Schizosaccharomyces pombe: one gene and its partners. Changing the gene in region 2 together with the main gene of any one other region gives a genetic interaction. Each region holds a gene or a part of one and is shown on either strand. Other genes may lie near its edges.

Region 1 (4,167 bases), 1.6 Mb from region 2:
GTATACCCCAGATAAGGCGAACGAAGCTGAAAAGGTATTTGGTGCTAATGATCGCGCCCACCCTGCCGTCGACTACTTGTTTGGTCGTGCTGGAAATGTGTATGTTGGTGGTAAACTTCAAGCCGTTACTCCTATTCGCCATTTCGATTTCGTAGAGTACCGCTACTCACCTGCTCAACTTCGCTCTGACTTCCAGCGTAACAACTGGAATCGCGTCGTTGCTTTCCAAACCCGTAATCCCATGCATCGCGCCCATCGTGAGCTTACCGTCCGTGCTGCTAAGCAACACGGTGCCCGTGTGCTCATTCACCCTGTCGTCGGTATGACCAAGCCTGGTGATATCGATCACTTCACCCGTGTGCGTGTTTACGAGGCTATTCTCCAACGCTATCCTAAGGGTTCCGCCAAGCTCTCTCTTCTTCCCTTAGCCATGCGTATGGCTGGTCCTCGTGAAGCTTTATGGCACGCCATCATTCGTAAGAACTACGGTGCTTCTCATTTCATCATTGGTCGTGATCATGCTGGTCCTGGTAAGAACAGTCAAGGCGAGGATTTTTATGGTCCTTACGATGCTCAGTACCTTGTTGAACAATACGCTCAGGAAATCGGTATCACCATTGTTCCTTTCCAAATGATGACTTACCTTCCTGATGAGGACATCTACAAGCCAGTTGACAAAGTCGAACCCGGTACCCGTACTTTGAACATCAGTGGTACTGAACTTCGTCGCCGTCTTCGCGTCGGTGCCAACATCCCTGAGTGGTTCTCTTATCCAGAGGTTGTCGCTATTTTACGTCAATCCTATCCTCCCAAATACTCTCAAGGATTTGTTTTGGCTGTTCCTGCCACCTCCGATAAACTTCTCCCCAGCGCTCTAGTTTCAGCCTTGAACGAGGATGGTCGCCGCCATGTCACTCTTTTACCTCGCTTAGATGCTATTTCAGTGTTTTACGCCCAAGAATTGCAACGTGCTGGTGCTGCCGTTGTTGTTTCTCTGGCTGATGCTGATGCATCTGTTAAAGTACCTGCTGAGTGGACTACCGTAAACATCAAGCCCAAAGACTCTGTTTCTGAGGTTACTTTTGCTGTCCTTTCACAATTGTCTGACGAAGGCTATCTTTAAAATAATGTTTTTTGACATATATATATATATATATATATACATATATCCATTTTTGTTCTTTTATGTTCTACTTGTCTATTAAATAATAAAATAATTGCTGCAGGAATGACAACACTCCCTCATTAGAACTTTGCCATTTGTAGATGTAACTAAGAATGCAACTCAATTAAATTTCGCTAAGGACATGTTAGTAATTAATTAGCGATAGGCTTCTTAATAACAAAAGGTAGGAAATTCAATCCGAAGCCGAGGGGAATTAATTTATTATATATGTCAGATATACATAGCAGACTTTAGCAATTGCAATACATGCCAATGCAATGTTTTATTTTAATTCAGAAGTCATTATAACGTTAAGCCTATGCTCTCACTTAACGCATGCCTGGATGTAATACATTGTTACATTTACTTAAAAAAACTGGGCTTATAAAAAATATATATATAGGTTTTCTTTAAATTAACATTTCCTAAACTAAACTATTGATTTAACAAAAGAAATTGTTACATCTATTGTTATACCTAGGTATCCAATATAATAACTGTATACTACCTTACTTTTCCTACCAACAAAATCCCCCTTGAAACTAGTGCTCTCTATTTCTAAATAAAAGTAAGACCTTTAACTACTCAAAATGCAATCTATGCAACCTTCAACTGTGGATAAGCGTAAGTTCTATATTGTATGAATTCAGTCATTAACACTGAACAGTAAAAATGGGCGCCATTATGGGTTCAGCTGCTGGACTTGGCATCGGGTTTTTATTTGGAGGAGTAGCAGTTTTGCGCTATGGGCCTGGTCCACGTGGATTCTTAAGGACCTTAGGTCAATACATGTTAACATCTGCGGCCACTTTTGGCTTTTTCATGTCCATCGGCTCTGTAATTCGCAACGAAGATATACCACTAATACAGCAGTCAGGCTCACATTGGAATCAAAGATTATTAAATGAAAATGCAAATTCCAGTCGTATTTTTGCCTTGGCTATGCAACAGGCCAAAAGTTCTCCACGTAAATCAAATGAAGTTGCTGAGTGCTAATTTCGTTTAATCCGATTATAATAAAAGTATCATACTATCATTTTGTTAGTATATGAGGTACAATATTTGTTTCTCCTGAATTCTGAGTTAAAGATGTACTGATGATTGTACTATCATGCATTTAAACTAAAAAGCTTTGGCCGCTACATCAAAGGACTTTTGCATTTTTCTGATAGTTCATGTTTAAAAAAGTCTTTATACCATATTGTTAATATTTTGATGGCGATTTAATTTTCCTTAAAATTTTTACGATTTAAAGATTTGGGTAATTTGCTAGGTGGTAAATTGGTAAATTAGTTTGTTTCGATGAATAATATTTGTAGCAATAGTTACAAAAAATGATCGAAGACAAGCTATTACAAATAAGCTAATTATTATTTGATCATAAAGATATTTAGAAACAATACTTGTGCCTTAAAACTTGCAATATCAATAATGCTTGTCATAAGGAAGATTCGGTTACATATGGGTTGAAGATACATATGCTCATTAGTATTATTAAATGTATTATATATGCTTGATGTTATCACTTCTTTAGATGCTAATTGTAATGTAAATGCGTCTGTTGTCTCTTTTTGTACACGCATTATTAGTTGGTATCTTATATAAAACTTCGATTCAATCTCCAACTGGTAAAGCAAAATGCAATTAATGCCAGAATAAAATAAATATGCAAGTCCATAAACCGTTGTATGCACCATTCATAAGCAGAATTTACTGCGTTCATAAAGTTGCGAAAGCATAGTCTTCAAAATCTTTCGTTTGCTTCTTAGCCAAAATTCAAAAAAAAACTTGAAAGCACCTGCAAAAAGGTCCAAGAAGGAAAAAAGTTTATAATCGGAACATCTTCCTTATACAGCTGCAAATTTAGAAGATCGTATTTGGTTATGCTGCAGAAGTAGATACTCTCCTCATACTACTTTCAAAACTGTGTAAAGTCCTTAAAGAGCCGAATTTTTCCTTTTTCGGCAAAAACGCTTCACAGTCGTTTCTCATTGAATCCATGCTTATCCTAGACTTATTCCCCAGACTTACTGAATCGGTTGAAACATTGTCATCAAAATGCAAGGAATCGTCTTCTGTATGAATAACTTGTACGATTTCGCTTGAATTCTCAGTAGTGATATTATCATTTTCAGTACTGTTCATACATGAACATTGTTCAGGGTCCTGGACTTCAATATCGTTGGCCGGAATCTCAATTGTTTCCTCTAAAGTAGTTAAATTTTCATCCTCTTTTACTTCCTTGATGTCTTCCAGCTCATCCTTCTCGATATCATCTTGACGAGTTTCTTCAACTTCATCTTGTAAGATGGAGTTTTCTGCTTGCACTTCATCATCTACAGCGTTCGTCTCGGTCATAGAGATGTCCTGAGATATATCGATGTTTTCTTCAGCTTCATCGATTAGCTCAGTAACCTTGTCAGGCTTCTCAACGAACCCAATTGCAGTCTGATTAATACCTTCGCATGCATTGACCATATCAAGGGAGGAATTTTTGTCGTTCATTTGTCCTTCATATACTTTGTTTTCACAGTCATCAGTTGTAGTAGATTGTTCCACCACGACAGATTCTAGAACATCATTCTGGTTGTTGTTTGCTTCATCAACGGCTTCTTTTCCAAGATCATTTTCTTCACTGCCTTTGTCAATATTATCAGAATGCTCTACCTCAACAGGTATGGTTAAAGTATTTTCAATCTCGTCATTCACATCAGTAGACTGGGTCATTTCAACTGTACTGAGGATGCCGCCAATAAGAGATTTGTCATCTTTCTCAGACGGCTGATAATCCTTTTCAGCTTCTTCTACATTGCTGTTTTCATTGATCGGTTGTTCTAACTTCACGGGTTCTGAGGTTATGACTTCTTCATCAGTTGTATCAGGGACAACGACGTCAGCACCCGTTTGAACAGGAAGGCTACAGTCAACTGGAAAGTTTTCTGAATTTATAGTTAATTCAGCTTGCGCTGGTTTCTCGCTACCGTCAAGTAGGACATCACTGC
Region 2 (6,260 bases):
GGGATTTAGCTAACGCTGCTGAGTCCCAGGAGTCTTTCTATTCAAAGGCTCGAGGCAATGACAGTACTAGTAAAACAGCTAAAAGTTCCTCTGGCAATCAGGATATTTCCGGAGATGGAAAACTTCATAGTTTACGTATGAAAGAGCCTGAGGTTGTTCAAACCATCCGTCCAGGCCAAGAGGTTAGTGTACTTATATTTGCTGATACTTCCGCTACTTACTCACTCTCGTTAATTACTTTACAAAGTCCTCTATCCAGTTAATCTTCAATAACTGGTGATCTTCGCTAATGTGTATGCCTCACGATTTATTTTTAATGTATGATTAATTGCATATGTCTAACGTTATATACTTCTACCACTTATTTCTTTTTACCTAAACGTTTTGGATTTATTTTAGAGGATTCGAATAATCGCATGGGTTTGTTTGTTTTTTGGTGGACTTAAATGTTTTTAAGGATTTTTATCAAAATATTTTAATGCTTATTTACGGTTCATGTCTTACGATTGTATTTCTTATTGGCTTTTTTTATTCATTTTTCTCATTTTTTTTTTTTTATTTCTTTATTATTTTTTTTTACTAGTAATACTTTTGCATCGTTTAAAGGGAAAAGTTATGCCCTTATGTTTTTTTCAATAAAATGGATTATCAAATCATTGCTATCAAAATATATAAATAATTAAAAGTAAATTAGTTATTTATTCACGTCACTATGGTTGATACCTACCCGCTTAAAGTTCATTACTAAAATCTTTATTGTATTTCTCTTATTTTCTTCTGAACAGTGCAGCTTACCTCATATTTCAACAGTCAACGGCATCTGCAGTATTATCCTAGTATATTACAAATAACTAATTAAACATGTAATTTTCCATGAATATACTTCGATCAGTAGTTTCGAGGGGTCGAAAAGGCCTCAAACAAGAAAAAGTGAATCGTAGCTTTGCTTACTTAGATATGGTTTATATTACTTCCAAGGTAATTGCTATGTCTACACCGGCTGCTGGAATACATAAGTTATATCGAAACGACGAATTGGATGTATTTAAATATCTTACAACGCAATTGAAAGACAACTGGATATTGTTGAATTTATGTGCCGAAGAAACAGTTTACCATTTGGAATTATTTAAACCAAATGTCATAAATTATGGATTTCAAGATCATAATCCACCTCCGCTTCTCTTTTTATGGGCTATTGTTATGAATATGGATGCACTCTTTCAAACGCAACCTTTGTTGACATTGGTAGTTCATTGTAAGGCCGGAAAAGGACGTACAGGAACTGTAATATGTAGCTACTTGGTAGCTTTCGGAGGCTTGACAGCCAAGCAAAGTCTTGAACTATATACTGAAAAAAGAATGGTTCGAGGGCACGGTCTTACCATTTCATCGCAAATACGTTACGTCTATTATATCGAAATTTTAAAACAGTTCCCGAATTATTTGAAAGCTGTGGAATTTAATACTGGTACCACTTTTTTTAAAAGTTTTAAATGTTTGAATATTAAAAAAAATTCATCTTTGATTCTATCATTGCATGCCTTCTCTAAGGGACGAAACATAAATCCAGTTGCTCTGTGGAAGAGTTCAGATATATCATCCCATAATGTAAGCATAAAAGAAGGAAAACGTATATGGGGGATACAATGCAACCTAGAAACATCGGAGAAAGACCTTTTGCTCAGAGTCGAACGCAAGGGCCAGTTTTACTTTCCTTCGAGTGTGCAATGTTGGTTTCATACTCACTTTCAACCTATGCTTGTGGAATACACAAACGGGATAAATTTTCAACAAGGTATAAATTCCTTTCTGCAAGGACAACAGTCAATTTCGTTCTCCTGGTCTGAAATGGATAATAGCCGACGAAGTGACCCCTTTTTCGAACAACTGACAATTGTATATGAAAATGTTTTTTGATATTTTGTAAATATTATATTAGTGTAAAATAAAATGATTATTTGTGCAATTAGATCCTCCTTTCGATCATCGAAATAAACTCACATGTTGAAGTGTTTCTACTTCAGTAAATTACAGAGGCGCTTCAAGTTTTTTTTTTAAATTTTAAAAAAAACATAGGAGTTTGAGTTTAAGGCTTATACTCTAAGATTCGAGTTTGCAGTTACGATTTATGGTATTAACTCATCGTGGCTACATTACCGACATCCACTTGAATTGAGCTTGTCTTCCACCAACGCTTGTTAATCGCTGAATTGACTCTCATGTCTGGGATATCACTATCCTTGCGTCAATTGGATTATAGAGATTGGTTTCAGCGAAAAAGTATGCTCTTGTTTTGTTTTTGAATGATGCTAACTAGTTTATTAGTCAGTCGAGATATCTACGGCAATTCGACTTGGTTGACCGGTATAGATTTGCAGAAAGAATTAACTGGTCATACGGGATGTGTTAATACACTAGAGTAAGTGTTTTATAACAATTTGTTCTACAATGCTTACAATTTTCAGCTGGTCCGCGGACGGTGAATTCTTGTTATCAGGAAGTGATGATACAAGACTAATTGTCTGGGATGTTTTCAATGAATACAAGCCACGGCATTTAATATCTACTGGCCATGTTCAAAATATCTTCAGTGCGAAATTTGTCCCATATTCTAATAACCGGCAAATATTGTCTGCTAGTGGTGATAAGCTTATTAAGTTGTTTGATTTAGATTCAAGTAAAGAAGGAGGAATGGATCACGGCATGGAGACTCAAACTAGATGTTGGAGTTGTGCTCTTGATTCTGTTAAAAACATCGTCCCTTGTGACAATGGTCATACTTTTCTAGTTTGCAGTGAAGATGGGACGGCTCGTCAATACGATATTCGTGAGCCACATGTCTGCAATCAAGATTTGGATTGTCCTTCTATACTGGTAAATTATAACCCATATCGCATCAATTTATACACTATAACCATGTCCCCTTCAAACCCTTATTATTTTGCAATTGGTGGTACTCATCCGTACGCGTTTCTATATGATCGCCGGATGGTTAAAAAATCTTTCCGGGATGATTGGACTATGAACACTTCTCCCGAAAAAGACTGCCGTTGTGTTCGTAAATTTAGTCCAGATGGCTCATGTAATTCCCAAGGTATCTTGGATCGTTATATCACTTGTTGTCAGTTTAGTGCTGCTAATCCTAATGAGGTAAGTCTTATTGCATGGGTGATCTCTAATGTTTGTTATAGTTGCTTGTCAGTTGGAACTCTGATTATGTATATTTATTCCATGTTCATGAAGATAAATCTTATACACCAACTTTTAATAAAATAGAGGATTCAAATAAAAAGCCGTCTAAGCCTTCGTTACTTCAAACACAGCCGCTGAAAAGGAAAAATTACTCGCCATGGTATAAGAATAACTTTGGTGCTTCTACTCCAGCTAGTAGAGTGTCAAGAAATCCGTATACAGCAGCCCAACCTCGAAAGCATACATTTTATCAGATGTATGAGAATATCGAAAAGTTTTTTACTACCGAAAATGGAGGACTGTATGAGAGCATTGTTAGCGGTCGTTTATCTCATTTTTCTCGCTCTATTCAGTACGTTAAAGACGCTATTTATTTCTTGGAAAATTATAATTATATTCCCGATTCAAACGGTTTGAATCATAGTATCCGCGTTAGTGCTTTACGTTATTGGAGAGCGTGTGTTTCTATTTTAGCGCTTATGGATGATACTGTGAGTTTGGAACCGAACACCATTATACAAGCTGGCTGGGGATGGTTGTATGATTTTATGAATTGGGTTACACGATATTTGTTAGGAATATCGGACCATTGGGCACTACAAATGTCTCCGCCTACGAACGTTGCTCGCCAAAACTTTGTTTTGTGTGATCCTGATGAACCATCTCGGGTTTTATTCTCAAATCCCTCTGAAATGATTAGGGCATTTGCTAGGATAGATACTAATGATTTATCTTCTGTAAGGCGGTTTTTTTGGATACATAAAGTTTTACGCGGTTGTCTTCTTCTTATATCCTCCGATATCTACTGGGAGCAATTTCAGCCTTGGGACAGCAGTACTTCTGACGTTACTTCCAGCCAAAGACTTGATGATGAAAACGGGTTCTTGACATTGTTGGAACCGCCAGTGAACTATGAAAATGAAGTTGAAAGTAGTTCGGGAGAAAATATTGTCAGTATGTATACTGGGCATTCTGATCTCAATGATGACGATGATGATTACCAGGATGAGGAAAGTTACTCCTATGCTAGTGATGATGATGATGAAAGTGATGAGGATTCGGATGAAGGTCCGACTTTGTTGTCTTTAAGAATGAAGAAGCGGAAAGCAGTGGAACCAAATGTGCCGGTGAACACACATGTTAAAAGTTATTATGGTCACTGCAACGTAGAGTCTATTAAAAATGTTAATTTCTATGGTCAAAATGATGAATATGTCATGAGTGGTTCTGACGATGGCAGGTTTTTTATTTGGGATAAGTTAAATGCTTCCATTCTTGCAATTATCCATGGCGATAGTGAAGCTGTTAACGTTATAGAAGGGCATCCCCGTTGTCCCACGCTTGCTGTGTCCGGTATTGATTCCACCGTGAAGATATTCAATACTGAGAACACTCCACCATCAGGTTGTTCAAGGAACCATACTTCCAATAGTTACAAAATAATTGCTACCAATGAAATGAATAGGCAGCAGGGGTCGCGAGATTCCTACATAACGAGGTTTGTTGAATACTTCTAATTTGCTCATGTAAATACTAACCGTTCTTCTAGTCGTATGTTGTCACATCTTGCATATCGTGCACATTTGGATGATGGGTTTGGACACGAAGTGCTCGATACCGATGCTTGTAGTATTATGTAACTGAGGAAGTTTTTTTTGAAGCTCACATTTTCTCTATTAAAACTATTTATGATTAATGATTAGACATTTTCAAGTAAACTTAATGTTGTGAAATAACTATATGATTTTACTTTTTGGGATAAAGTTGGGAATTTAAGCGAAGTAGTTAAAAGCAAGACAATTTCGGCATATTCATTTGGACAAATATTAAGTGCGTATGACTGCAGATGTTTAATAGTCATTTTTTATATAAGCTTTTCTTTAAAAGTAAAATATTAAATTTTAATTTTCTTGAAACATCGTCTTCAAAGGAAAACGGCAAGCATAGCAATCCCTCTTATTTTCTGTCTTCCGTCGATCGTCTACCTACTTAATCATAGTTTGAAGTTAAAATTGTTTTTAACGACATCATTTTTTTAAGTAACTGTTGTATTCGCATTACTCTGAAAAGAATTAATTCATACTTAGTTTTGATTAGTCATATAGTTCTGTTTTTACTTTTTAATTTCGCTTTCTTTTGCTGACAAAAATTAAGGCAGAATTTTTTACGCGAGATGACGATCGACTGATGTACGTTAGAAATGTTTGTTGTAACTTCCAATCTTAATTTTTTTTTTGTTTACATAAGCAACAAGATGATTTTGCACTTTTAATACTGCTTACTGAAACGACTTAGAATACGATGGATAATTGAAAGAAGGAATCTCACATAATTGACTAATCAATCAATATATGCTTACTTTACACTTAGTAAACATTCACGTTGATTAGGTAAGGCACGAAGGGTATATTAGGAGAAGAATGTAGCCAGACAATTGTACCAGCAAGTGTGGGCAAATAATCTGTCAAGTTTTTAATAAAGTTAACCGAGACCAAAAAATAGAACTAACTTTGGTTTTTACATACGGTCATTTAAATGGGATTTTTAAGGGAAACCGTTTTCGGCGAATTGGTCGAATACGTTTCTCACAACTCCAATGACAACGACTTAGAGAAACTGAGAGTATGGAAAGACATTAGCAAAGTAGATTCCAATGACTCATGCAGCTCGGAATCCGGCGATCTGAAGATTCATGAAGTTAATTCAGAGGGACACATTATTGTGCGATGGGATGATGCCAACGATCCCGAAAATCCCCTAAATTGGCCTTTGTGGGCAAAGCTTGTGGTGACTTTTGATATTTGCTTCTTAACGTTTGCGGTTTATGTGGGATCAGCAATTTTTACTCCAGGTATATCAGAAATGCAAGAAACGATGCACGTAGGAACTGTTCCCGTAGTTTTGGGATTGACTCTTTTTGTACTTGGCTATGCCATCGGTCCCCTAATTTTGTCTCCACTCTCGGAGATTCCACAAGTTGGTCGCCAAAAGATTTATGTTCTTTCTCTCCTTGTATTTGTGTGTTTACAGATTCCCACCGCACTGGGATCTAGCTTGGGCGTCTT
Region 3 (5,927 bases), 3.1 Mb from region 2:
TGCAGGGTTTATAGCCTATGGAGTCCAATATGCAAAAAACACCATATCTCCTTGGAAGCTCTTTATGATAATCGTCGGAGGAATCACATTTTTTTTAACTATTGGACTCTTTTTTTATTACCCAGATAATACTTCTACTGCTAGATTCTTGACCAAGAAAGAGAGATTATACACAGTTGACCGTGTACGTAGAAGTAATCATAGCGGTATTGAGTCGAAGACTTTCAAGAAGTATCAAGTAATCGAGGCGTTAAAGGATCCAGTGACATGGTTATTTACTTTTCATGTTTTTTGCAATCAACTTTCCAACAATTTAGCTTACCAACAAAATTTACTTTTTACAAGCTTGAATGTTTCTGATTTGAATTCTACCTTGGTGGGCGTCGCTAGTGCCGGATATAATTGCGTTAGCGCAATTATAGCAACTTATATGATGAGTGTGATAAAAAACCAAAGTGCCTTTCACGGAGCTATATGGTATATCCCAAGTATTGCCGGAGGAATTGCGTGCGTAGCCATGTCATGGGATCATAAAATTGGGGAGTTAGCAGCTATTATTATAGCAAGCAATTTTGGTATCCCTTTTATTATTTCTCTTGGATGGACAACAGCCTCTTGTGCTGGATACACAAAGAAGCTTACTCGTGGTGTTATGTTTATGATTGGATATGCCATTGCCAACATCATTGGCCCACAAATGTGGCAGAGTCGTGATGCCCCGAGATATTATCCTGCTTGGATTGTTCAAATAGTAATTGCTTGGTCTGTTTCTCCCTTTGTATTGCTGATCATTCGCTGGATTCTTGTTCGAAGGAACAAAAAGCGCCTTGCTCTTCTTGAGCAGAATAAAGAACAGTATGAAAAGACTTGGATTGAGACGATTGATTCTTCTGGAAATCACGTTTCCGGTTTTTACGAAAATTCTATGCTTGATTTGACAGACCAGGAGAACCTATCGTTTATTTATCCCTTATAATTATCCATTTAAACGAAGGAATAAATCTTAAAAAATAACTTTTTGAAGTATTCATGAGAAATGTTTACAAAATAATTTCAAATTCCCAACAGTCATGAAAAATCCTTCTACTATTTGCTTTTTTTTTTGCAAAATTTTGTATTTTTAAACTACTTGCCCGTAAACTCTTAACTTATTTTAGACTACTACAAGACAGTTGCTTTATTTACTTGTTTTTTTGTTTCCTTTAGGATTCCTAACCTTTAATAGTAATCTTCGTCTTTAGCGAAGAATAGTTTGAAATTTTGTTTGTATATATTGCTGAAAGCTTTATTCAGTTACTATTTACATAGATTGAAAAGAAGAACTAGCATTCATTGCTAAATAAAATGGAGGTCGATTTTTATCCCCAATGGTTTCTCATAGTTTACTTTGCTGCAAAGTTGCGATTGAAAAAGAGATGTTCTAAAAAAGTATTTTTATATCAATTATAAAGCCTAATACGTAGGGGAAATCCAAACCAGTTAAATTTTTCAGCTCGGCTTTGCATTCCATCTGATAATTTTCGCTGTAGATTATCATATTTAAAAAACATTGAATCAATTGGTAACTTAGCATATATACGTTGATAGATGAAATCAGCTATTATTAGATTTTATAATCTTTAAACTGTGGTGTTTAATAAGTAAAAGACTGGAAATAGCCCATTAAATTAAACAATTAGCTGAACCCGAGTTCCATATTTGCAATAAGTTTTTTACCATTAATAAACTGCTATGTGGTGTTTCATTAACAGTAAAAAATTATTGTAAAATTCAATATCATGAATAATCATTAAAGATTGTGCTTAGCTGGTTTGAACAAACCGACGTTTTCGGCAACAAAATCGTCTGGGGCTGTTACTACTCCAGTTTCAGCTTCGTAGACCAACCAATACTCGATGAGTTCGTTTAGAATATCTGGATGGACTTTCGCTAGATTTTCAAGCTCACCTTTGTCCTGGGAAAGATCATACAGCTCCCATTCTGTTTTTATTCCTTCTTTAGGTACATATATTGCCTTATAATTTCCTTTTCTGATAGCTCTTTGCCCGAAAAGTTCCCAGCCGCTAAAGTCAGTATCTTTGTGTACGGGTTTTCCATGCACAAAATGGTCAATCCAAGGTTTCCCACGGGGGATTACAACATCTCGTCCTTGAAATTTGTGCCCTGGGTGAGGGACTTCTGCTAACTCAAGGATGGTTGGCAGGATATCCATAACCGTAACAAACTCATCGGAGATGATGTCTGGCTTGATCAATGGAGGATAGCGAATTATAGCAGGACATCGAATACCACCTTCTGTAATAAAACCCTTGCTAAGTCGAGAAGGAGCGGTCGCAGCCTGTGCCCATCTTGGTCCGTACCAAATAAATGAATTATAATTACCCAAGTTTTCCAGTGAATTGTCAAAATACTTAACCGGTGGTTTTGTGCTTAATACCGGGATTGCTTCCAAAACTGACCCTTCTGCACCGTTGTCTGACATAAATATAACAAATGTGTTGTCAAGTTCTCCAATAGTTTTCAAGTAGTCAATAACACGACCAATATTCAAATCTAATAATTCGACCATTGCAGCATAAACTTCCATCGTTCGCGCAGAAAATTCTTTCTCTTCTGTTGTTAGTTCGTCCCATGACTTGGTTCCCATTCCATCTACAGGTGCTGGAATTACATTTTCTGGTATAAGTCCCAAATCCTTTTGGGCTTGCAAGCGATTTTTTCGTAACACATCGGGGCCTTCACTATATCGTCCACGATATTTATTAATATATTCTTTTGGTGATTGCAACGGCCAATGAGGTGCTGTAAATGGGAGGTAAGCAAAAAATGACTGGGATTTTTCACGATTTTTTAACTGATCAATTAATTTTTCTGCAAAGTAATTGGACGAATAAAAATTTTTTAAGCTTTTGTGATCAACAGGATCATGATTGTGGGTATACAATGGTGGTAAAAAAGGTACAGCAGGGTTTTCTCTAGTACCAGGTTCATATGCAAAATGATTACCACCTCCAGGTAAAAGTGCAAAAGATTCTTTAAATCCTCGCTTTGAAGGGTAACGATCTGGGGTTAGTCCAAGGTGCCACTTTCCAGACATTGTGGTATAGTAACCCGCTTCCTGTAGAATCTCTGGTAATGCAGCAACTCTATCATTTAGGTAGCCTTCGTACCCAGGCTTTCCACCCCATACTTTCGAAAACCTGCGTACTGTCTCTGCCATTTGCCCTAAACCTGCTATGTGATTGTCTGTACCGCTTAATAACATAGATCGAGTAGGCGAGCAAGCAGAGGCTGTATGAAAGTTTGTCAACCGTACACCTTCCTTTGCAAGCCTCTCAATATTTGGAGTGTGTATTTCACTTCCAAACGGAGAAACATCTGACCATCCAAGATCGTCAGCTACGATGACCAAAAAGTTTGGTTTTTTAGATTCAGCTTGTTTATTAAAAGCCATAGTTACTATTCAAATTTTTTTTGATTGCGAATAAATTTTTATGCAGCTCAAACTGTAATTTTTATTTTATGTTCATAAAGGGCATGTGAGACAAGAGACAGCCCACAAGTTGATTAAAATATGAAAAAATATATTTGCAACAATTGTCTTCCGTAATAGATTGCAAAATTACAAATACCTAATGAAGAAGTATGGCGTGCTATCACGTAAGCTTTGAGTAACATCATCCATATTAAAAAAGATACTCATACATTCCAATTTACTGGATCAAACTGTAATTTACTTATCTGAATATTTTAGAGATAAGATTCAGTAAATCAAGTTTAAAACTAATTACTGTCACTCACTCAATATGTGCAAAACTGAGTTTACTGACCAGGAATTGACTTTTTTTTTTTATTTATCAAGGAAATATTAATTGAGTTATCAATCCCAAAGGAAAATATGTGAAAATATTTAAACACTCGCCAAATTATATTAATTGATCTTTATATCAATAAATGCTTTACTCTAGAAAAAATCGGTTTCGGTAATATACTACAAAGGAACCTAAATAGATTTTGAAGCTTTATACATATAAGAAAACATTAATTTTCTAAAAGATACCAAATGATAATTAACAAGGACGTCGATTTTCGTTATTTTGAACTTTCAACGAGAAATGTCAGTGGAAGATTCAACATATTTTCTATGAGATAAATTAGATATAATAACATTTTGCTTTTGACAATAACTGAGAAAAATCATATTTATACCTAGATTTGTTGAGTGATACGAATTTCATACAATTTAATGGGGGTAAACTGCGATTAAAATTACGTTTTGGTCCTTTGTATTGTCTTATTGATATGAAATATCAGACACGAATATTTTCATACTAAGTGGTAATAATTAATTTACAACTGACCTCGGATTCTCTTTTCGTTTGAAATTAAAATAATACTTAATTATTACAATTGGAATTTAATAATCTCGATTAGTGGACGTAATATATATGAAGATATGAAGAGTATAAAAGTATCGAGATGTATCATAATAAAGCTTAATGCTATATATCTGAAGATTTTTTTCTTGGTAAATTGTTTCCGTAACTAAGGGCCGTCCAATAATTAGACTTCCTAAGTTCAAAAATAGTGGACCAATTGTTAAAAAATACAGATAAAGAACATCTTAAGACATTCACAATATACAAAAACAACTTGTTTCAATTGTAGGAACTTGTAAAGTTAAAGGATTAAGTTGTTGTACAGAAAGGATCTTTGCGTAATGTTGGATCCGAGAAAAGATGTAACATTCTCAAACAATCCATACATCATTTCCCTTCAACGCACTTTTGGTACTATCAATTGCAATTATAAGTGAATTCAAATTATATCAAAAGAGTTACGTAAATTCATATTTATCAGATTTGGTCTGATATTATGTTAAAGTGTAAACTTATTGAGCAGCACCCACTATTTTCTTTTTACTCATTATTATATCGGATGTATTCAAACTTGGTTTACATTTAAATAGTAATAGCAAATCGTTTTAATTACAAATTAGAATTTACACGTGTTAAGTTGTCATTGTTACTCGGTAAATGCATCCTAGATTATGACTATAATAATTTTGTTTAAACATTCCTTTTCTTAGCATGTTTTCATTTGTGTTCGATGGGTAAAAAGCTAATAATATTATTATAAAATAAGCTGTATTATAATAATAGGTTGTCTGAGCCGAAGCAAGTAATTGTGCTAACTACATTCCCATATACGCTTATTATTGCAAGGAATTTTAAATGACTTGGAAATGATTAAAAAGCAAAATTAATTGGCTGTTCACTTTTATATATAATGTAGCGGCATGTAAAGTGCTACTAGTATAGGCATATAAATATTTATTTGAGCGGACATCTTTTTTTAACTATAGTACTTGGAAAAATCGTATACGGTGGATCATTAGCTGATTAAACCAGAAATATTACAACTTAGTTCAACAACGCATTATTGAAAGTGAAAGCGAGTCCTCAGATGAGCAACATGAAGTATATCAAAATGGTATTATCTACGATACTGATTAAAAGGATGAAGCATCTATATTTGAGAAATTAGGTGATGATGAATCTGCTCATGAGGACAATATGCTTGAACTTGGAGAGCCCTAGGAATTTTCGAAATTTTTTTGGAAACGGAGAAAGCTAGATCCAAACTCCATTACAACAAAAAAATCCATTTTTGATGATCCTAATACGTTAGCTGCTTTCAAACCTAGTCCTTACTATGAAAGTAGACACCGCATCGATCCTTTTTTTAGATGGATATGGGTCAGGAACAAAAAGTTGTTCGTAAAATAGATATGCTCATTATTTCATGGGCATTCATTATGTTTTTTGCACTAGAATTAGATCGTGCCAATATTCAACAAGCCCTTTCAGATAACATGTTGGATGATTTAGGAATGAATACTAATGATTACAATAAGGGTATGACAA
Region 4 (7,035 bases), 530 kb from region 2:
TTGAAAATTTTCAAAGATTTTGATGACCCAACGCTTTCAGGATGATAAAGTATTCCAAAATGTGGAAACTTTGTAGCCTTAATAGACATAACTATGTTATCTTCATCCGATTGAGCTAATATTTGTAAAGAATCGATGGGAATTTTGTTCGCGTACAAACTGTGGTAACGCATTCCTTTAACCGCTGAAATTCCATCAAAAATGAAAGTTTTTGAAGTAGTTACAGATGACACACGGCCATGCCAAGGAAGATTAGGCATTCTTTCTATAGTGGCACCGTGGTATAAAGCTAATGACTGAAACCCCAAACAAATGCCCATTACTGGGATATTTAATTGCCAAATACGATTCAAAATAGAAGAATATTCGGCAGGATGTCCAGGGCCCGGTCCTACGACAATGGCATCAAATTGAAGTATGTCTTCCCATAAATCAGGACTCATTTTATCCCAATGAACAACAATAACACAGGCATTTTCACTTGCTTTGTAAAGTAAGTCATAAAGGTTAAAAGTGTATGAGTCATAGCAATCAATTAATAAAATTTGTAAACGGTTTGAAATTTCACTCATGATAGATACTAATCAGCTAAAACGACCTTAGATTTACTCAAGAAACATTAATTTTTTAACGATATGATTGAAAAGAGAACTCTGGTATTAAGAGGTTTTAACTTTTACAAAGTAGCAGGAGTAGGAAGTGCGCAAATTAAATTCCAGTTTCCAATTTGTTTAGAAGCTTCTGACATTCTTCGGGATTTTACAAATCATACAATTCCATTTAAGGTAGGAAAAGTGTAGGCTATCTAAAGTTTTATTATTCCGTTTATTTTCAAAGAATAATTCGCAATCAAAAACTTGAAGGCGAGAATAATAGAATGGGAAGCAGTATTTATTTTGAAAACAACCCTTTGAATATGTGCAATTTTCATTGTCAATAGAACATGAAGCAATCAACAAATATATGTATTCTTTTTTGCTTTAATATCATTGATTCACCTATTAATCGAACCGAACGGTAGTAAATTTTATATTAATGCATTTACAGCCTGATCAGCGTAAAGATCTCAATGACAATTGATAGGACGGCTTGTATTACTGTTTTTTTTTTCTAAATCCTGATTAAGCCTGTATGTTTCTTCTATTTGGTTGTCAAGGCTATCACATTTTGTTCATTAAAGGTATTGTCTACTTAATGCTTCTAACGTCAGCAGCTAATTAAAATTATTTCAGTACATATATTCATTTATAAGAGTATTGTTACCATATTAATAATAATAAAAAAATATGGATTTTAAGAGTCGAAAATATAAAATTAAAAAGCATCCGAAGGATTGCAAACTACATGCTAAAAAATACCGGGGTACATTGAATTCAAAAGGGAAAAATGATAATGATTGTTTAATTATGTGTATGAGATGCAGAAAGGTTAAAGGGATAGACTCTTACAGCAAAACTCAATGGAGCAAAACGTTTACATTTGTTCGTGGGAGAACGGTTAGCGTTTCAGACCCAAAAGTGATATGTCGTACCTGCCAGCCCAAACAGCATGATTCAATTTGGTGTACCGCTTGTCAACAAACTAAGGGCATTAATGAATTCTCTAAGGCACAAAGACATGTCCTGGATCCACGATGTCAGATATGTGTACATTCACAAAGGAACGACGGTGATGATAATTTGGAATCTGATAAGTTCGTTGATCCTTTCATAGGTGATGATTCTGACTTAGACGATGATATCTACATTCATGATAAACAAACCATAAACTCAGAATACGCTGACGATGTTTCTGATAATACTGACGAAGAGCGAACTGAAAGCAAGGGGCAACAGGAAAGCAATTCAGCTGAAGAATATGATGATGATGACTCTGATGAAGACAGGATGGAAGAGATATTTCAGCAATTCAAAAAAGAAAAACAAATTGTATAGAGACACGTTTTATATTCATCCTTATTTGAATTATGTAAAGATTTGCTTACGATCCCATTTTATATGATAAATTATAAAGGTCCATTAGTGCTAATGTAGACCTTAAAATATGTTGAATTTAATTTAGATCTTAAATAAATAGATATATGTATATAGTAGTAAAAGGTAAGGAATTGCGAACCCTGATGTAAACACTAGCGTATATTGAACCCATTAGTTTCAAGCAACGCCGTGTCTAATTTTTTTTTTAACTTTTCCCTACTGGAGTATTCCCAAATACATAAGTGATTGAAGCAAGTATGAGAGATAGGAAGTTGATCACTGTCAGGTCCGAGAACTGAGATTCTTAATTGAAAATTATGTGCCCCAGTAGCGGGAATGCGATCGCTTCCTGTGACGAAAATGAGAAAAAGTTTTTGCATTTTTAGCGAATAGTGTGATATCAAATCCCAAAACCAAAGTATTATTTTTCTTTTTGATACGAAAGAGTGGCAGAGATATTTAGATGCAGTCATACTTGGTTCACTTTCAGATATAGAATTTGAAATCGCATTTTGGTCATAAAAATCATAAACGCAGACATTTTTGAGTAGCTCCCAGTCAATAACTTCTTCACTTCCTCTGATCAACTTGCTGATTTCATTGTCTTGAAACAACGATATGGCGTTACCTCCACATACTTTCATAAAGCCATCGAAAAAAGCAGAAAATTGTTTTTTTACAGTAGTATTTAAGAGATAATCTACATACCTCAAAACATATTCTTTTCTGTTCTCATTATCAACACTCAATTCAGAGCCTCCTTCTTTCAACTCAACAGTGCGAAAGCCCTCGACAGCTTTGAGATTAATTGTAAAATTAAGACCGTAAGTATTTTTTACATCTCCTTCAAATAGTAAAAGCTCTTTTAATCCTCGATATAGACTAGGCTGAAAATCATCCAAGTCATTGAAACTTAGAGGTAACTGTAAAAGTTTTTTATAGAAAGCTCTGGGCATCTGTACATCCAAATTTATTGAATTGTGGATTGCAATTCCCATCAATATACCTGACATATGATAGTAATCAATTTCTTTCGACCTGTGTGAATAATTAAACCATAGATAATTTGAAGACTCTTCACAGTTCACAAATAATCCAAACTCAGGGCTAAAAACTTTCCTCGTTAAAAGCAGCAACCATTCTCTCTTTAATCCTCCTGCATCGATTCCTTCTTCACCTAAAAACTCAACTTTTAATGCCTTTCTAAAATCTTTATTTCTGTCATTAATTTGCCTTAGGCTGTCTTCTAACAGTCGATCTCGCCGAACACGAATCATCAAATAAGGTTCAACGTTCATTTTGGAAAGAATTGAAGAGAAAAATGCTTCTCTTGCTTTAATCTCCATTTTTCTCCGAGCATCAAGCTGAAGAATACTAATTTTAGCACCCATTGAAAGAAGAAAAGGATACTGGCAAAAACAAAAGCAATTGATTTTTTGCTCCCATAACTCAAAGTCGTGATAAAGATTTATGAAATCAGCCATTATGCAGTAAAATGAAGATCTGTCTATCAGTCTCATTTGCGAATTAGCAGAGTATAATAAGGCCATAGTAATAGCTGCTGACTTAATTTGCCAGTCATTATTATAGTAGTGCTTCCTTTTGTTTCTACTGTAAGTTTCCATTAATCGTTGACCAATAAACTTGTTTATGAGATCGACTTTTCTTCGAAAAAACTTAGGATTGTTGTAAGGTTGTTTTTTAAAACAAGAAATAAAAAAATGATGTGTCTTCTCGTTCAAGTTAGATAAAACTCCCAAAATCCTCTTCAAAATGCTGCTACTCTTGTTCACTATATTCTTTGATTTTGAGTTCAACAAAGGATTTTCCAAAAGAATGAGAAGATATTGATAATCCGCTGGATCATGACAATATAGCATGGGTCTCCGAAGTAAACTCTCGATAGCTCTTAACAACTCATTTGTTATTAAAATGTCTAAATTTGTAATATCATGGTACAATTGGTAAATGAGCTTATAATTTAGTCCGGAAGATTGGATTGAACAACCATTTTTAACCGAGAACAGTTTATTCAATATCGGTGGACTTCCAAATACTAAGGATATAAGTTCTCGTAATGGTAAGCCTGCAGCCACAATAGCTTGAACGTTGCCAGTTCGCTGCTTAGCAAGTTGCAAGGCACTTCGTGTTTGATGAATTGTTTCAACAAAATGTTCAACTGAGATAAATTGTGATCCATCGGTTGAAGCTTTTGTCTTTATTTGGGAGCCACTTAAACAAAAATAAACATCGTTCACAGTCATACATAATGAACAACGAAAGCACATAGCTTGTGCAGGGTAGCGCAGGACGCTATTACAACAAATGCAGGGCCTGATCACCTATAATTTTGTTAATAAATTAGCCAAACAATTAGCCTAAATACCAATTTCTCTGAATTCCCGTAACTATCATTAGAAATTGTCTCATGAAACGACTGTCGAAGTCGAAGTGGATTTTCACCCATACGTTGACAAACTAACTCTCTTAAGCGACGTGATATTTTTGAATTTGTATTATTGTCAAGTTCTGAGCGGCTAGAAAAACTAGAGCCATGAAGTGCTGGGAGCGTTCTACGGTTTCCAGAAGACACATTGGCTATTTCAATAGGGCGACTCATATAAGCAATTCACCTTCTAAGAAAGATCTATATTTCGCTCTACAGATAAACAATTGGGACTAACCCAAAACAAAAAGACAAATCTGTAAAAGTATGGTACATATCTAGGCCATACTACACTATACATATATTGGTATAGTTATTTCTTAAATATTACGATATTCAACAGGTTCTCATGGCGTAGTCATTCTAACATTCTTTCGTCAAAAGATCATCACAGTTGAACCAATTTTCTAAGATCTTTGAAGGTGAATACTGTTAAAACAGATAAGTTCTTTACTCTTCTTGTATAATATGTATGTCATTAAATGCAGAAGTAAATATTATGACATTTACAAAGAAAATTACCATGTCGACTTCGCAGTACCTTATTTAAGATTTTTGAACGTTCCTACATTGATGATACCTTTCATTTTAAATTGTCAAATTACCTAGTATGTACGACTATTCGTAGGAAAGTTGATTTAAGAAGATTATGATTTAAACATTGAATAACATCTAGTATGCTAAATAGGCCATCCTAGGTAATAATGGTGTAGTAAGAGAAAGAAAATAGAAAGCAAAAATTTGGTTTATAGGTTGGGTCGAGTATTCCTTTGAACCGGAGGTGGAACAGAAGTTGGCGAGCTTACACCGGACGAATTACTAGAAGTTCGGGCAGCAAGTCTTCTTGGCTTTGGAGGTGCAGGTGGAGGTGGTTTCTTAACAGGCGACGCTGTAGAAGCAGCAGTCGCCGCGGGAACAGATCCAGATGCATATGAACTGTTTTGAGAAACCCTTCGGGGAGGAGGAACCGGCAAGGGTGCATTTGCAGAAGCTGTAGGGAGAGGAGAAGAGGCAGTATAATTAGCGTTTGACTGATAAGTTTGGGAATAAGAACCAGAAGAGCTGTAGGAGGGAGGTGGGGGCATCTGAGACATTACATTAGGACGAACAGGAGGTGGTGGGACTTGTTCTTGATTTAAGACGGACGGACGACTCCCTGGTCGACTAGGAAGTGAAGGAGTCCCTCTTGAAGGAAGAGCGGGTTCCTTGGGGGGCTGTGAAGGTTGGGAATAAGAAGGCTGCGAATAAGAGGGTTTCGAATAATCTTGATTTCCTACAGCCGGGCTAGCCGTTCTAGGTGTACTTCCAGTACTACTACCACCGGCACGCAACTGTGAAGCATGTTTTGGAGGAGGAGGCAATTTTGTAACATCGACATATTTTATTGATAAACGAGGCCCGGTTCCATGAACGGATCTAATATCATACATAGCATCTTCGCCATGTTCACCTATAAATCCCATTTTGTTAGTAATGTCTCAAAAAGCAAAGGAAATATGCTTACCTGGTAATTTCGATGTAATCTTATTCTGGAAGCGGTTCGCAGAATCCGACATCGAATGCAGTGATTTTTTTGTTGAGTCAAACATTACGATTAGTTTGAAATTGATTTCTCACAATTGACGCAAAAACCGATTTTACCCAAATGTTTGCGGTGGACAGCTTCCGACTCTCGAAATTCCTTAAGTCCGCTTTTCTAAGAGCCCATAGGGTAAACAACTACACAACGTGCTAGTAATATCAGCCAGCTGATAGGAAAAAATAATGTCTTTGAGTTCTTTTTGATAAAACATAACAAAATAGTAAGCAGCTAATAAGCTTCGCGTTTGTTGTCAATACTTACTATCAGAATTGCAGCATTGCTATTACGCTTGCTAAATTGGATAATATACGTAGAGTTCTATATTCATTCAATTGAAAACTTGTTAAAATCGCATTCTTTATGCGTATATTAGTTATACAACTATGGCTGTCAGAAAATGCAAACAAACTACCACAAGAAGTGATCCTTCCAATGATAAACGTTTATGTTAACAGAATGTAAAATCATTGCTTTTCAAGTAAATCTTATAAACACTAGATGTTGATGACTTTCATAAATAGAAAGTAGGGATTACAATTCATCTGTTCCGTCATCTTCAACATTTTCTTGAGACAACTGCCCAGATTTGATAATTTTTACATCTTCAAGAGGCTTATCACGGTTGTCAGTCTCAGCTTTGGAAATTTTCTTGACAATATCGTAACCAGAAAGGACTGATAAAATTAGTATTAGCAAACAAAAAAAAGGAAAAAGAAAACAAATAGTCACTTTTATAAAACATATACAACTACAATATGAATTCTTACCTTCACCAAAAACAACATGGTGTCCATCTAACCAAGGTGTTTTAACTGTAGTAATGAAAAACTGAGATCCATTGGAATCGGGTCCAGCGTTAGCCATGCTAAGCAAACCGGGACGTTGGTGAGAAAGCTTAAAGTTTTCATCAGGAAAACGGCTGCCATAAATTGATTTTCCACCAGTACCATCACCCTTCGTAATATCACCACCTTGAATCATGAAATTGGGAATAACGCGATGGAAAATAGATCCTTCATATCCAAATCCCT

What was found.
Region 1: mutations in iqw1 (region 2) and mgr2 together harm fitness less than expected from each alone (positive genetic interaction), as found in Schizosaccharomyces pombe (one large-scale study listed by BioGRID).
Region 3: mutations in iqw1 (region 2) and SPOM_SPBPB10D8.02C together harm fitness less than expected from each alone (positive genetic interaction), as found in Schizosaccharomyces pombe (one large-scale study listed by BioGRID).
Region 4: mutations in iqw1 (region 2) and mug30 together harm fitness more than expected from each alone (negative genetic interaction), as found in Schizosaccharomyces pombe (one large-scale study listed by BioGRID).

The regions. Positions count from the first base shown.
Region 1 is NC_003423.3:1,568,441-1,572,607, reverse strand, and holds mgr2 (protein Mgr2), read left to right. Parts: upstream 1-1,688; 5' UTR 1,689-1,755; coding exon 1,756-1,789; exon of another isoform or gene 1,790-1,832; coding exon 1,833-2,161; 3' UTR 2,162-2,404; downstream 2,405-4,167. Other genes in the region: sua1 (sulfate adenylyltransferase), read left to right, coding at 1-1,123; SPOM_SPBC27.05 (uncharacterized protein), read right to left, coding at 2,536-2,862; septation protein Uds1, read right to left, coding at 3,047-4,167. UniProt on the Schizosaccharomyces pombe protein: Required for cell viability in cells lacking mitochondrial DNA.
Region 2 is NC_003423.3:3,160,950-3,167,209, forward strand, and holds iqw1 (WD repeat-containing protein), read left to right. Parts: upstream 1-2,190; 5' UTR 2,191-2,222; coding exon 2,223-2,283; intron 2,284-2,328; coding exon 2,329-2,422; intron 2,423-2,468; coding exon 2,469-3,153; intron 3,154-3,194; coding exon 3,195-4,693; intron 4,694-4,744; coding exon 4,745-4,835; 3' UTR 4,836-4,953; downstream 4,954-6,260. Other genes in the region: SPOM_SPBC609.01 (Dis3-like exonuclease family protein), read left to right, coding at 1-263; phosphatidylinositol-3,4,5-trisphosphate3-phosphatase Ptn1, read left to right, coding at 874-1,920; plasma membrane spermine family transmembrane transporter Caf5, read left to right, coding at 5,731-6,260. UniProt on the Schizosaccharomyces pombe protein: Ligand-dependent coactivator of nuclear receptors that may function as a substrate receptor for CUL4-DDB1 E3 ubiquitin-protein ligase complex.
Region 3 is NC_003423.3:81,978-87,904, forward strand, and holds SPOM_SPBPB10D8.02C (arylsulfatase), read right to left. Parts: upstream 3,542-5,927; 5' UTR 3,455-3,541; coding exon 1,790-3,454; 3' UTR 1,252-1,789; downstream 1-1,251. Other genes in the region: SPOM_SPBPB10D8.01 (cysteine transporter), read left to right, coding at 1-976.
Region 4 is NC_003423.3:3,686,100-3,693,134, reverse strand, and holds mug30 (ubiquitin-protein ligase E3), read right to left. Parts: upstream 4,597-7,035; coding exon 4,363-4,596; exon of another isoform or gene 4,319-4,362; coding exon 2,129-4,318; 3' UTR 1,935-2,128; coding exon of another isoform or gene 1,287-1,934; 3' UTR 1,286-1,286; downstream 1-1,285. Other genes in the region: abz1 (para-aminobenzoate synthase), read right to left, coding at 1-572; CLRC complex-Argonaute linker protein Stc1, read left to right, coding at 1,287-1,934; SPOM_SPBP8B7.26 (uncharacterized protein), read right to left, coding at 5,169-5,872, 5,927-6,011; cyclophilin family peptidyl-prolyl cis-trans isomerase Cyp4, read right to left, coding at 6,536-6,678, 6,772-7,035. UniProt on the Schizosaccharomyces pombe protein: Probable E3 ubiquitin-protein ligase. Has a role in meiosis.